Linked DNA regions of Ovis aries. The protein of the gene in region 1 purifies or fractionates together with the protein of each later gene. This does not show direct contact. Links are inferred from orthologs where the notes say so. Each region holds a gene or a part of one and is shown on either strand. Other genes may lie near its edges.

Region 1 (6,467 bases):
TCAAGACCTTTCCCACGACGCCCACTCACCAGAAATAGGAAGGCTGATGACAAGGGATTTTGATGAGACATCACTAAGCATGATGAAGTGATTCAATTCACCTAGCCGACTTATAAATATGAACACCACCCACAATGAGGTCACTGGAACCGCAGTATTTAGAGAGGGCCTGGCCTGCCTTAAGGGAGAAGGCTCAAAGAGCCCTCAACTTCTTACTCCCGGGCAAAACAGCCAGGAGTTAAGGGATCAGGATTTTGGGGTATTTGAAAACAAATGAAAAAAATCTTCCAGTGATACTAAATGATCTTTTTCTTCCTAATATTCACAGGTGCTCTTCCTCTGACCTCCCTGCGAAAGCACCCACAAATGCACATCATTTGATTCCTGCAGACTGGCTCTCAAGCATGATCACTGGCCAAGAATCCTGCTAAAACCAAGGGTCACAGCCTCTCCTGGGGAGTAAAGCTCTGCAAGCTCGTCAGGGACTATCAGCCTCGTGATTCCAGCCTCTCCTCAATAAGGGGCTTCCCAGAAGTTACCTGAGGAGACCCGCTGCCTGAAGAAAACTTGGCCCCTGACGATCTCCTCATCGTGCTCAAAGGGAATATCTCCGCACACCATGTCATACAGCAGGATCCCCAGAGACCAGACGGCTGCCGACCTGCCATGGTAGCGATGGTAGCGGATCCACTCTGGAGGACTATACACTCGGGTCCCTGTGAGTCAAGGGAATAGGAAGGAAAACATGCTTTTAGCAAAAATAAAACTCACAGCAACTGAGAGGTATGCTGAGTAACTTAAAAAAAAAAATAAATAAGGCACCACCCTACTTCTGTCAGCAGCTGAGTGAACTCCAATCCCCCCTCCCTAGGGCTAACAAGAGTGGTTGAGCAGCTTATGGCAACTCTCCAACCCAAAGCATTACCGACTTCTCTATCAGCCCAGACCATAAACAAACAGCTCCAAGAAACAAACAGGGCCAGCCACAAACCCAAGCACCAGACTTGGATGTGGTAGGACCACCCACAACTGGAGGAGGAGATGAACACATGCATAATCAAGGGAGGTATCCCCACAGACTATCCTTAAATTGCATTAGAGGTCCTCGCCCAGGAGCAGGTCAGAGTGCCACCTCAGATATGATCCAGGCAAGGACACTTGCACAATATCCTAAGTCAGGGTGCCCTTTAAGAGGCCTTCCTCTCCACCCTCTGAATGCAAGGGCAGACACCCACACACCCCTTCCTCCATCCAAGGGAGAGGTAGCACTGCTGGGCTGGCTTCAGACCACGTGATTCCTGTTTACAAACTTTGAGTTGTAAAAAAAAAATGTGGGGCCATCCCGCTGGCGCTCACCAGGGGGCAGCAAAGACTGGAAGGAAAAAACATGGGAGGACCCGGCCAGCCATTAACTGTTAGATACAAAAAAAAATACAGCCCAACCCAGCGTCCTCCAAGGGCAAATAAACACAAACCACAAGCCCCAGTCACAAGTTTTGAAAGGCTGTCGTTTGTTAGGTTAAGCCGCTCAGATGATGACCCACCCTCCTCTGCTTTGATCTCCGAGCTCTCCATTCCGTCTTTTCTGAAAGAACCCGCTCCAAGCCCCTCCCTAGGATAGGTTTTCATCCTCTCTGTGGAGACACCCAACTAATTTTCAAACCAGCAAGAGATCCTATTTCACAACATTCATTCCCGAGTCCCTCACTCCACATCACCACCAAGATAAAATAATAATAACAAGAATCAACAAAATGAATTATTTAGTAAAACTACTCTTCTCTTCCTTATTCGTCCCTAGATCAAAGGGGAGGGGAAAACACACACACACACACACACACACACACACACACACACACACACACACACACACTGCAGCTCTAAAAACTACCTCAACCGAAAACTCCCTTATAAATCAAAACAAAAATGACAAAACCGGCAATCAATTTTCATCTCTCCCGCTCTCTCCTCCCCCTGTCCCCTCCCTCTCATCCTTCTACCGGCGGGGAAACTGGGTCAGACTTCAGAAATCTGGGCTACGGCCGGTTGCCCACAACCTCTTATTCATGGGGAAAGCTTGGAACCCACTGAATTTCACTTAAAAAATAAAATCATGCCAGAGACATTACAGGTTCAGCTGGCTCGAAATTCCCAGCTTTCCTACCCTGGGAAGCCCTCCTTCGCCCCACCCCTGCTAGCATCGAGCCAGGCGGCCCGATGACCTTTACAAAGGGCCGGGGAGGGAAGCCTGCCGAGGCCTCCAGGCCAGGCCGAGTCACCTGGGCAGTTCCCCTCCCGGGGAGCTCCCCCTCAGGCGTGACTCACCATCGAAGTCCGTGTAGACGGTGTCCTTGAGCAGCGCCCCCGACCCGAAGTCGATGAGCTTGAGCTCGCCGCGATTGAGGTCGATAAGGATGTTCTCGTCCTTGATGTCGCGGTGAAGCACCCCGCAGTCGTGGCAGTGTCGCACCGCCTCCAGCACCTGCCAGAAGAAGCTGCGGGCCAGCTCCTCCTGCAGGGCCCCTCTTTCCGTGATAAAGTCGAAGAGGTCTTGCACTGGCTCCGGCCTCTCCAGGATCAGGACGAAACTGTCGGGCCTCTCGAACCAGTCCAGGAGCCTAATGACGCCGGAGAAGCCCGAGCTCACCTTCTTCAGCAGAACCACTTCCATGGGCACTCGGGTGCCATTAGGCTGCAGAGGGGCGAGGGGGGCTGCAGTTAGGGCGGGGACGGGTCACAGGGTGCCCCACTCTACCCATCCCGGGGGGTCGCTCCCTCCAGGATACTCACCAGCTCTCCCCAGTCGGAAATCCGGTCCTTCTCCACGTGCTTGATGGCCACCTGGAAAGCCCCCCCATAGAGTCTCTGTTAGAGATTCCCTCGCCGGGGGGCAAACACACCGGCGTGCCCCCGGCCGGCGCGCCCTCCTCGCAAGCCGGGCGCCCACTCACCGGCAAGTTGTCGGCGACACGAATGCCTGAGTACACCGAGCCGAAGCCGCCGCTGCCCAGGAGCGGGCCCACCTGGTACTGCGACTCCAGGGGCTCCTTCTCCTTGCCTATAGGAAAGGAAGAGTCCCAGGAGACTCAGTGACGGCCCGCGAGCCCCCCAGCTTCAACCCTCGAGGTCCAGCCGCCCCCCACCTCCATCCAGGGTTGGTGGGAGAGAGGCACTTACCCGGCGCCAGCTTGGTGGCGTGCAGATCGCTGCAGGGCGCGGCGCGCAGGTGGGCAAGCGAGTTGATTTTGGACAAGAGCATCCCCACCTCCAGGGTGTCGGCGCTGAGGCTGTGTCTGGAGGAGCTACTGCAGTAGGGGCTAGGGCTGCGCCGGCGGCTGTGCCTAAGGCCGGGGCTGAGGCTGCGGGTGGCGTTGCGGCTGCGGCTGCGGCTGGCGCGGAAGGCCGAGGGCGAGTCGGAGGACGACTGGGGGCGCTGGCGGCTGACGGACACGCCGGCAGGGTCAGGCAGCGCCGCGGGCGGCAGGGTGGGCGGCTCGAGGGGCTGGTGTGGCAGCGCTGCGGCACAGGGAGTGTGTAGCTGTAGCTGCTGCTGCTGTTGCCGGTCCCGCCACCGCCGCCGCCGCCAAGTCCTCTCCGGCCTCCTCCGCCACCGCGGCCGCTGCAGCAGACGCCCGGCTCGCCCTGCCGCCAGGAGTAAAAGGGGCGGAGCGCGCCGGCGGGGAGGGGGCGCGCGGGCGGGCGGGGATGGGGCGGGGCCTCTCCGGGAGGCCTAGGCGGGGGAAGCCGGGCGGCCGGGCCGGCGGAGGGAGGAGAGGGGGTGGGGGAGCGGCGGGACAGGGCGACTCCCCTCCGCACCCCCCCCTCCCCGCTCGCCCTCCGTGGCCGCGCCCCGCCCCCGCCCCCGCCGGCGCGCCTCCAGCCAACCAGAGGCCGGCTCATCTGCATAACGCGGCGCGCGCCCCGCCCACGCCCCGCCCCGGCTCTCGCGGTCAGAATGGTCTCTACGCCGCCACGACGTGGCGGGAAGGAAAAGGCGCCAAAATGGAGGGGGAGGGGCGCTGGGGCGTGCGGGGAGGCGGGAGCTGGGTGTTGAGCCGCGAGGGAGGAAGGATGGGGAGGGGCGTATCGATTCAAACCCAAACAATAACAAAGCCTTCAAAGGCCGCCCGAGGCCGGCTCTGCGGCTCTCCATTTCTCGGGGTTTTTGGGTCAAGGGCTAAGAGCTGGAGCATAACAAGTTGCGCAGAGAAGACAGCCGTTGGTGTGTCAGGCCCCGAGGCCCGGCGGCCGGCGCGCCGGGGTGTGAGCGACTGTGTCGGGGGGGCAGGGGGAGGATGCCGACGAGGGTGGTCTTTATGTCTGACTCAGACGCGAGACCTCCAAGTCGGCTTGGGCGGGTTGACCACGCGCTGTGGGATCGGGCTGGATTCTCTGGGGTTTGGATGTTGGGGGCGCAGGATCTGCAAGATATGAGTCACAACGGCGGCTTCACGGAGGTGTCACAGGCCTGGAATAAAACCCGGAGAGCTCCGCTCGCTCGGGGGAGGGGTCCAGATCGCGATTGTCACAGCCGGTGAAAAGATCGGCCCCCAGATCCCCTGGCAGATTTTTATGTTTTAAAAAATGCAGAAAGGTTCCAGTGAATCCTGATGCCGAAGAAGTGATGTGTGTCAGAGTGCCCAGTAAAGAGGAAATCACGAAACAAATGTTAGTATTGTGATGCCAGATGCTGTCTCAGCCCCTTCTGTGAGGGCGGGAGAGAAGAAAATGCCTCATCTAAGAGCGAGGGTGGGAAGGCGCGCTAGATGTGATCAGAGTTTTCACGTTGTATTCACCTTCTCGTCATCCTGTTATTACCAGACAGGCAATATTAGCAATTATTGGCTGCCCCCAGTCTTGACTCAAAGGAAATTCCCCCCTCACCCCCACTCCATGCCCCCTTGGAAATAACACGGAAACTGACCAATTCGACTTTCATCCTTTGTCCTTTTAAACTTCTTGTAGAGTTGATAACGACGTGTGAAATGAGTAAATTAAAATTCTTTGTAATCCGTAAATTGAGTTGTCGGGTCCTCCTAAGTAATTGAAAGCTAACTACATCCTCTTTTAATTTTTTTTTCAAGTTTCTGCCACTTAAAAAATGAGGTCTGAGGATCTGTATAGCTGCACTCATTAATGAATTTAAATGTTTCATTAAAAGTTTTCTACAATGCTGTTATATAAAGATGCTCAGATATTTCACAACTTTTATTATCTTATGAAATATTACATATTTTCCTTTTGTATACTGTGGCCTAACTCATTCATTTTCGATGACTAGGAAAAAGCCCAAGGGAACAAGAATTATTCCTTTTTTACAGATAGGAAAATGAAACATAAATAAAATGACACAGGGTCATACAACAGCTAAGAGAAGAAGAGATAAAACAACACAAATTCAACCCCTGACTATCCAAAATTTTCCTCATGTTGGGCTCTAAAACTGTTCTTTGTACTGAGTAAGACGTCAAGTATCAATCAATGTATGTGACCCCCACCTCCGTCCCCTCTTCCTTTCCTCTCATAAGCCCTACTGGACTATTCTCACTTGTTCCCACTTGTCTAGCATTTGTAGAGCTGGACTTTCTGCCTTTGTAGAGGTAGTCAAATTGTTCTGAGAATGCCCCCTCTACACTTTCATTTAAAGTCCTTCCAGACTTCAGGACACAATTAAAATAGTTCCACTCCAGATTGCTAGGCAAACTGTCTATGCCACTTAATCATGTATTTGTTTCTTGGTTTTTGGTTTTTTTAAAAAAATCTATTAACTTTTCAGTTATTTATACCTTGTCTTCCTATTCCTTGAATGAATACGTTATCCAATATTCATTGATGAAGGGAAAAATCAAAATGGGTCCCAACAAAAAGTTCATGATTAAAGTCATTTTATACCAAATTTAAGTGAATTAAGTGGGCTTAGGCAAAGTAAAAATAAAGGTTAGGAACAATCTTTAAACTGGGTTAGCCTGCTTTCAGATCTGGGATCTGGCACCTACTACTTAATATGACATTCATGAAGTTGCTTAACCTTTCATCAGCTTGATCTTTCCTCAAATTGCTTTAGACTCTGAATGGAGATAATGACACCTCCCTCATAGGACTGTTGTAAGGAGCAAATGAAATTCTACATATAAAGCTCGTAGACTGGCATGAAGTAAACTTCCAATAAATATTAGCTATGATGGCAATGATGCTGATTATGATTATAACGATGATGAAAAGGAAGAATTTGGGGATGGTCTTGCACCATGGAAGTTTCAAAGATAACGTACTAGCTAGTTAGATTTTAATCATCTTGGGAGAGAATATGATTCAAACTAGTTGTATACATTCAATCAAATTCACTTTCTCTAGATCTTTGTAGGGCTCACTCTTTAATTAGCTTTAGCTAAAGTGATTAACATCTAACATGTCTGCTTCATATGATGGGTACTTCACAGCTGGAAGTTATAAAACATGGACCTTGC
Region 2 (6,478 bases), on another chromosome or scaffold:
AGGCCCTGGCCCCCAACTGTTCAAGAGTCAACTGTATACCAATTAAACGATCTCATAGAACCACTGTGAAGATTAAATGAGATAATCTATATAATTTTTACCATATACCAAATTTTACTTCAAATGTCTCCCTTTTTGGGCGGGGGGTGGGGGGGGGCAGCTTGCAGGATTTCTGTTCCCTGACCAGGGATCAAACTCATTCCCCCTGCAGTGGAAGAGCAGAGTCTTAACCACTGGGCCACCAGCGAAGTCCTACAAACACCTCCTTTTCACAGAAGGAATACTGGCCAAATAGGGGATTCAAGTTATGGCCCTAGAAAATTATACTACGAGGGTCACCTTCCGTCTCACCTGAAAAACTACAAAAATGCCTAAATTACCTCTACAACATCTTGGAAATGAAGACTCAATCTTCAAAGTGGAATACACACATCCTTAGGAGTACACAAAGACATGGAAGCAAGGGAATCAACTTCCACCCTACTCTATCATGAAGCTGATCTGCCTAGATAGCAAATAAAGACTTTCAACCATAAAGTTTATTACTTTAAAACAGGAGTCAGAAAACTACACCCATGTACCAAATCTGGCCCACTGCTAACAAAGCAGAATTGGAACAGAACCTAGTACAGCTCTCTGCTTACTGTCTGTGGCTGTTTCTGCACGTCAATGAGAGAACTGAGTAGTACTAACGGAGACCACATGGCCCACAAAGCCTACCAGCAAGCCCTTTACAGAAAAACTTTGCTGACTCCTGTTTCAGGATACAGTTCTGTGGGGTGCATACAAGTTCAAAAAGAAAAAAGAAAATAAGAAATTCCCAGAAAGATAAAACTACCAAAACTGACTCAAAAAGTTAAAAAAAAAAAAAAATCCAGACAGACTTACACCAAGTAAAGAAATTGAATGAGTAATTTTAAAATCTTCCCACACGAAAAAGCCCAGGCGCAGAGGACTTTGCTGGTAAACTCTATCAAACGTAAAGAAAGAAATAATTACCAATTCTACATAAATTCTTTCAGAAGACAGCAGAATAACGTTTTCCAACTCACATTATGAGGGTAATTTTACTCTTGATACTGAGTCCAGTCCAAAGACATCACAGGAAGAGGATACCTCAGACCAATATTCCTCATAAAAATTTTTAATATCAGCAAATTGAATTCAGCAATATATAGAAAGTAGGATACACCAAGATTCAACAGAATCCATTCTAGGAACACAAGACTGGCTTAACATCTGAAAATCAGGTAATGTAATACACCATTTATACACAGCCATATCTTCGAGGGCTTTTATATCTAAAAAAGATTATCTATATACTTTTAAAGCATCAAATTACTATTAGATTTAGAAAACTTTGTATTTATTTCTCAAAAGTCAATATTTACAACCTAACAGAAATTACATACTAAACCATTTTCAATTAAATGTTTAAATTACTTAAATTTATGATGACCCTTCCATTTCATTAAACTACACTGGGCAAATGAGATTAACCAGATGATACTTTCTCTCTTCACTTCATTAGGCAACAAATTTGATAAGAACACTCTTCAGATAAGGCTTCAAATACACACTGCATATAAAAAAGTGACAGATCCTCAACACTGATCACCAAATTCTCAGCTGTAATTGTATCCATAAAACAAATCCCTACAGACACAGATGCCCAAAGTCATGCCGTCACCTAATTTAACCACAATAGGGCAAATCTCCCACCCCATCTCACCCACCAGGTCACCAGAAAAGACTCAAATGCCTTGCCAAAATTCGGACACATTATCATTACAGATACTGTACTCCTTTGGGATACTAATATGGATGTCATGTCCTGTTGTTCTGATTGAAGAATTCTAATAACCCTGCTCCTGTAGTTGATAACAGAAAAATGCTGTATTTTCCACCTTGCATTACTTACGAATCCTGGACTCTCAAGAATCTTAATTAAACATTTTCTAGTCCAGCGTTTTTCAAACTACAGTTCTTTAGCAGTCAGACCCATTACAGGTCAGAATCAGTTTAGTGAGTTACAATCAACTTTTTTTTTTTCCTTTCAATGAAATAGAAAATGTCAGAGGGTACCACACACATAGAAGGCAAATTTTTGTTTCCTGTGTACACACTCTATGCATGCAGGGGTCACAAAGAGTCAGAATGCAAAATACATTAACTGTGGGTCACAGGTCAAAAAAGTTAGAGACACTCTATTAGTCCCACAGTCCTCAAGAAGGCTTCAACAAAAGATTCTTAGCACTCAAAGAATTATGTTTTTTGTAACCATTTCCATTTCGTACAGAGAAACCAAAAAATAGGAATTCTGTGCTCAGTACATTTAATCTTCCATTCATAAATAAAAGACTAGACTCCATCAGGTTTCCAGCTGAAATAGTGACCTGCTCAGAGGCAATCACTTAAGTTTTGATGGGATTAAGACCTTTATTTGACAGAGCGCAAACTGAAATCGGTTTAGTCTGTGGCTAGGAAAGTTAAGTCGCTCAGTCGTGTCCGACTCTTTGCGACCCGGTGGACTGTAGCCCACCAGGCTCCTCCACCCCATAGGAAAGAGAACCAAAACCAATCTGGGTCTCGAGATCCTCATCTGGTACGCCAGGAGAGGGCTGTTTGGACTCCTTCCACCTCTGAAATTGGGAAGTTTGTTGACAACCAACTGGCCAAGCAGGTGAGGACTATGCCTCCCCCACACCAAAACACTTGAACCATTCAACAAGTCAATTACTGATCAATTCAACCAATATCACACAAAGAGTACCGATAATAAGAAACTAAGACTTTCACTAACAACAGTAAAGAATCAAGGGGAAGTAAGTCTCCAGGAATAGCAGAAGCTGCCCCCTGCCAGGTATCACTAATTTCTCAGCCACCCTCTCCTCTCAGACTCCAGTTCATCTCCGTCCCCCAGATATCTGTCATGGATGTGGTACTCGCGTTCTTCCCTGCCACCGTTCTCCACTGTGCAAAAGGAAACTGGGGCAGGGAGCAATGAGGGGGTGGGCTGCAGGAGCCATTAACAAAGCTAAACTAAGAGCCTAGGCCGCTAACGCCTCACACCTCCCACAATTCCTCGACTGCTGAGAGTCCCGTTCCCTCGACCTCCACCTCAAACCATGCCCCGGAGGCAAGTCCTAGTAATGGGCCCCAGCGCACCCGAAGCGGCCCCTATCTCGAACCCTCCGCTCTAGAAGTCTGCAAGGCCTGGAACCACGAAGCCTAAAACCAAACTCCCTGGCAACCCTGGAAGACCCCTCCCACGAGCGCCCACCAGCCACCCGGCCCCCGTCGCGCCTACCTCTACGCCTCCAAGCCTACGCCTCCTCGGTTCACCACACCAAGCCTGCCTCGAAGCACCGCAAGACCCTGAAACTAAGGGTCTTCTTCACACCCACCCCCACAGCCACGGCCGCCGCCGGAAGCGCCCTGCGTCTCCACGCCACCGTCGTGAGGTCACTTCCGGCGCGACGCTTCGGAACCCGGTGGCGGGGCGCCCGGGAAATTTGAGAATTTGGAAACAATAACTACTAGGACCAGCTGTGTGGCCTTCCAGAACCGCGCCTGCTAGGCCTAGTTCCCTGTGCCCCGGCTACCTATACGGGTGGAGTCTGGGTTCGAGTTGGAGTCCTGCCTGCGTCCCAGGCTCGGTTGCTGGGGAGCTGTCTTCCCTCTCGTAGCATTGATGGAAAGCTCCGACTTTCCTGCCAGTTCCTCTTATGCTAATCACCGAACCAGAGCGGAAGACTTTGGCTAGGAGGCTGCCTCTGTTCTCATGGCCCCTATCCTCGATCAGTTGCAGCTGTGGGATGCAATTAGTAGATCCCCGTGATGGATTAAAGGAAAAAAATTTCCTTCGTGGTTGATCTTCAAAGTTTATCAGCTTCAGCTCGTTTGGGGCTTAGTGTCAGCCAAACTGTGCTTGAATACCTTTCCCCACTGCCACCCCTAGTACTCAGTACATGGGAAAGTGCCACTCTCCTTCCTGTGGCATTTTAGAATCTCGGTCGCCTTGATTTTGAAAAAAGCAGCCGTTTAGGATCAAGACTGAATGTAATGAGTAAGTTTATAGTTGCCAAGGTCATCTTGAAGCCTGACATCTGGTTTAGGAACCACTGCTTGAGCAGGCAGCGTAGAGGAGGGCAGGGGTTCCAAATCTGGCTCATGCAAAATAAGTCGAAGAACTTTAAATTTTTTTCTGTTTTCAAGAACTGTCCCTTTCCTTCCTCCGACACTAAAAATTCTGTTTTAGTAGGTCTGGAGAGTCCATGGCATCTGTTATTTTAAAGGTTTCTTCCAGTCAATTCTTAGCAGACCAAGGTTTGGAAACGCCTGGTGTATCAGACTCAGAGTTGAATCTTTGCTCTACCTTTTCTTTTTAATTATTATTATCATTTTACAAAGGAGCTGTGCCTCTCTGGAAATAATAGCTAACAGTTACTGTGAAATTAATGAGATTTGCTGACCATGATTGATATTCCACACACACACACAAAAGGTTGTTAATTCTCTTGTGCCTCCCTTTGGTTATGGTGGTATGCATATGTGCTACGTCTCTTCAGTATAATCCACTCCAAGTTATTTTTTAAACGCACAGGAGAATCAACCTTTCATCTTGTTCTCTGTAGCAAACACTGCTGTAACCCCAGAGGTCAGTTGGATATTATGCCTACTCTTGCATCCCCATCACCTTGCACTGCTGCTGCTAAGTCGCTTCAGTTGTGTCCGACTCTGCCTTACCCCATGGACTGCAGTCTACCAGGCTCCTCCGTCCATGGGATTTTCCAGGCAAGAGTACTGGAATAGGGTGCCATTGCCTTCTCCAATCACCTTGCACAGTTCAGTTCAGTTCAGTCGCTCAGTCGTGTCCGACTCTTTGCGACCCCATGAATCGCAGCACGCCAGGCCTCCCTGTCATCACCAAATGCTGGAGTTCACTCAGACTCGAGTCCATCGAGTCCGTGATGCCATCCAGCCATCTCATCCTCTGTTGTCCCCTTCTTCTCCTGCCCCCAATCCCTCCCAGCATCAGAGTCTTTTCCAATGAGTCAACTCTTCGCATGAGGTGACCAAAGTACTGGAGTTTCAGCTTTAGCATCATTCCTTCCAAAGAAATCCCAGGGTTGATCTCACAGTGCCTGCCAAATAGTAGGTTCTAAAATAAATGTGTATTGAATGAATGAAAGGATTGTCCAAAGATCCTCTATATAGACTTTCCCTGGAACTCAAACTGGGAGTCTCTAGTCAGATCTGAAGTCTGAGCTGATCAGTCACTAAACTTTGGAAAAGATCAACAACTGCCTTAATTCTACTAAATGAATTGCTCTGCTTAGAGAATTCTGCTGCATTGTTTTGGAACTTTGACCTCATGGAAAGATCAATCACCCAGACTTTTAAGTTTCTTAAAGCTCTTAAGAATTATTGAGTTTCTCCTTTGATCTACAGAGAATGGCAAATACATTCAGAATTAGAATGGAGAATCGTTGTTTCACACAGTTTTACACAAATGGTATGTTTTCTCAGCAGAATCGGGAATGTTTACTAATTACACAAAAAATTCAGATTAAAGATCAGCATCTTATAGAGTTAGGGAAGCCAGGAAGTCATGCTATAAAGTCCTTCCAAACTCCTTGTCCTTGCTACAACCACCATATATACAGACTGACTCAGTGTGTTAAAACTGAACACTGATTGGGACAAGAAATACACACTATGTGCCTGAAACATACTGTTGTACAAGATAGCAAAGAAGCTATCAAAAACTACTACATTTTTGTCAAAATAACTCAGATGCCAACTTGAAGAGGCTCCCATTGGTCAAAAGTAGGACAGTATGGGCATCAATAATAACAATAGAAATTCATCAAATATATTAAGATCCATGTGTCACTAATGATAATTTTTGAAAACTTAATTGGAAACATATTTAACTGTACACCTGGTGCTGTCACTCCTATTCAAGAGAAATGAAAAATCTATATTAAAAAAAAAAACCGACAGTACACGAATGTGCTTGGCAGCCTGAGACTGGCAGTAGGCATTACCATCCCAGGACAACATTTTGGCATCCAGAAAAAGTTACATAGAGTTTGGAAGAGGAGGAATCCAGGCTGATTATAACAGAGGCACTTTTTATGGTTATACCCATTTGAGGATTGTCATCGGCAAAAACCATACTAGAAATTTATTTCAGAACTCCTCTACCTTATAGCAATTGATAGTATATAAAATTGCTTACTAATAGCATAGAGAAACAGGTTGTTTTTTTTTTTTTAAGTACAGAGACTTCCCTCGTGGTCCAGTGGTTAAGAATCAGCCTGCCAATTCAGGAGATAAGGGCTCGAACGATTCCAGGTCTGGGAAGATTCCACATGCTGTGGGACAACTAAGCCCATGCACCGCAACTACTGAGCCCACACTATAGAGCCTCATGCTCCACAACAAGAGAAGCCCCCTCAATGTGAGGCCC

What was found.
Region 2: the proteins of PIM1 (region 1) and EDC3 purify together in Homo sapiens (affinity purification with mass spectrometry; 3 studies listed by BioGRID and IntAct, counting the BioPlex papers as one, with this or other methods). This does not show direct contact. The link is inferred for Ovis aries from reciprocal best matches to the Homo sapiens genes PIM1 and EDC3.

The regions. Positions count from the first base shown.
Region 1 is NC_056073.1:11,143,093-11,149,559, reverse strand, and holds the start of PIM1 (serine/threonine-protein kinase pim-1), read right to left. Parts: upstream 3,656-6,467; 5' UTR 3,260-3,655; coding exon 3,178-3,259; intron 3,059-3,177; coding exon 2,952-3,058; intron 2,842-2,951; coding exon 2,791-2,841; intron 2,693-2,790; coding exon 2,326-2,692; intron 717-2,325; coding exon 540-716; intron 1-539. UniProt on the Homo sapiens protein: Proto-oncogene with serine/threonine kinase activity involved in cell survival and cell proliferation and thus providing a selective advantage in tumorigenesis.
Region 2 is NC_056071.1:31,654,297-31,660,774, reverse strand, and holds the start of EDC3 (enhancer of mRNA-decapping protein 3), read right to left. Parts: upstream 3,451-6,478; 5' UTR 3,311-3,450; intron 1-3,310. UniProt on the Homo sapiens protein: Binds single-stranded RNA. Involved in the process of mRNA degradation and in the positive regulation of mRNA decapping. May play a role in spermiogenesis and oogenesis.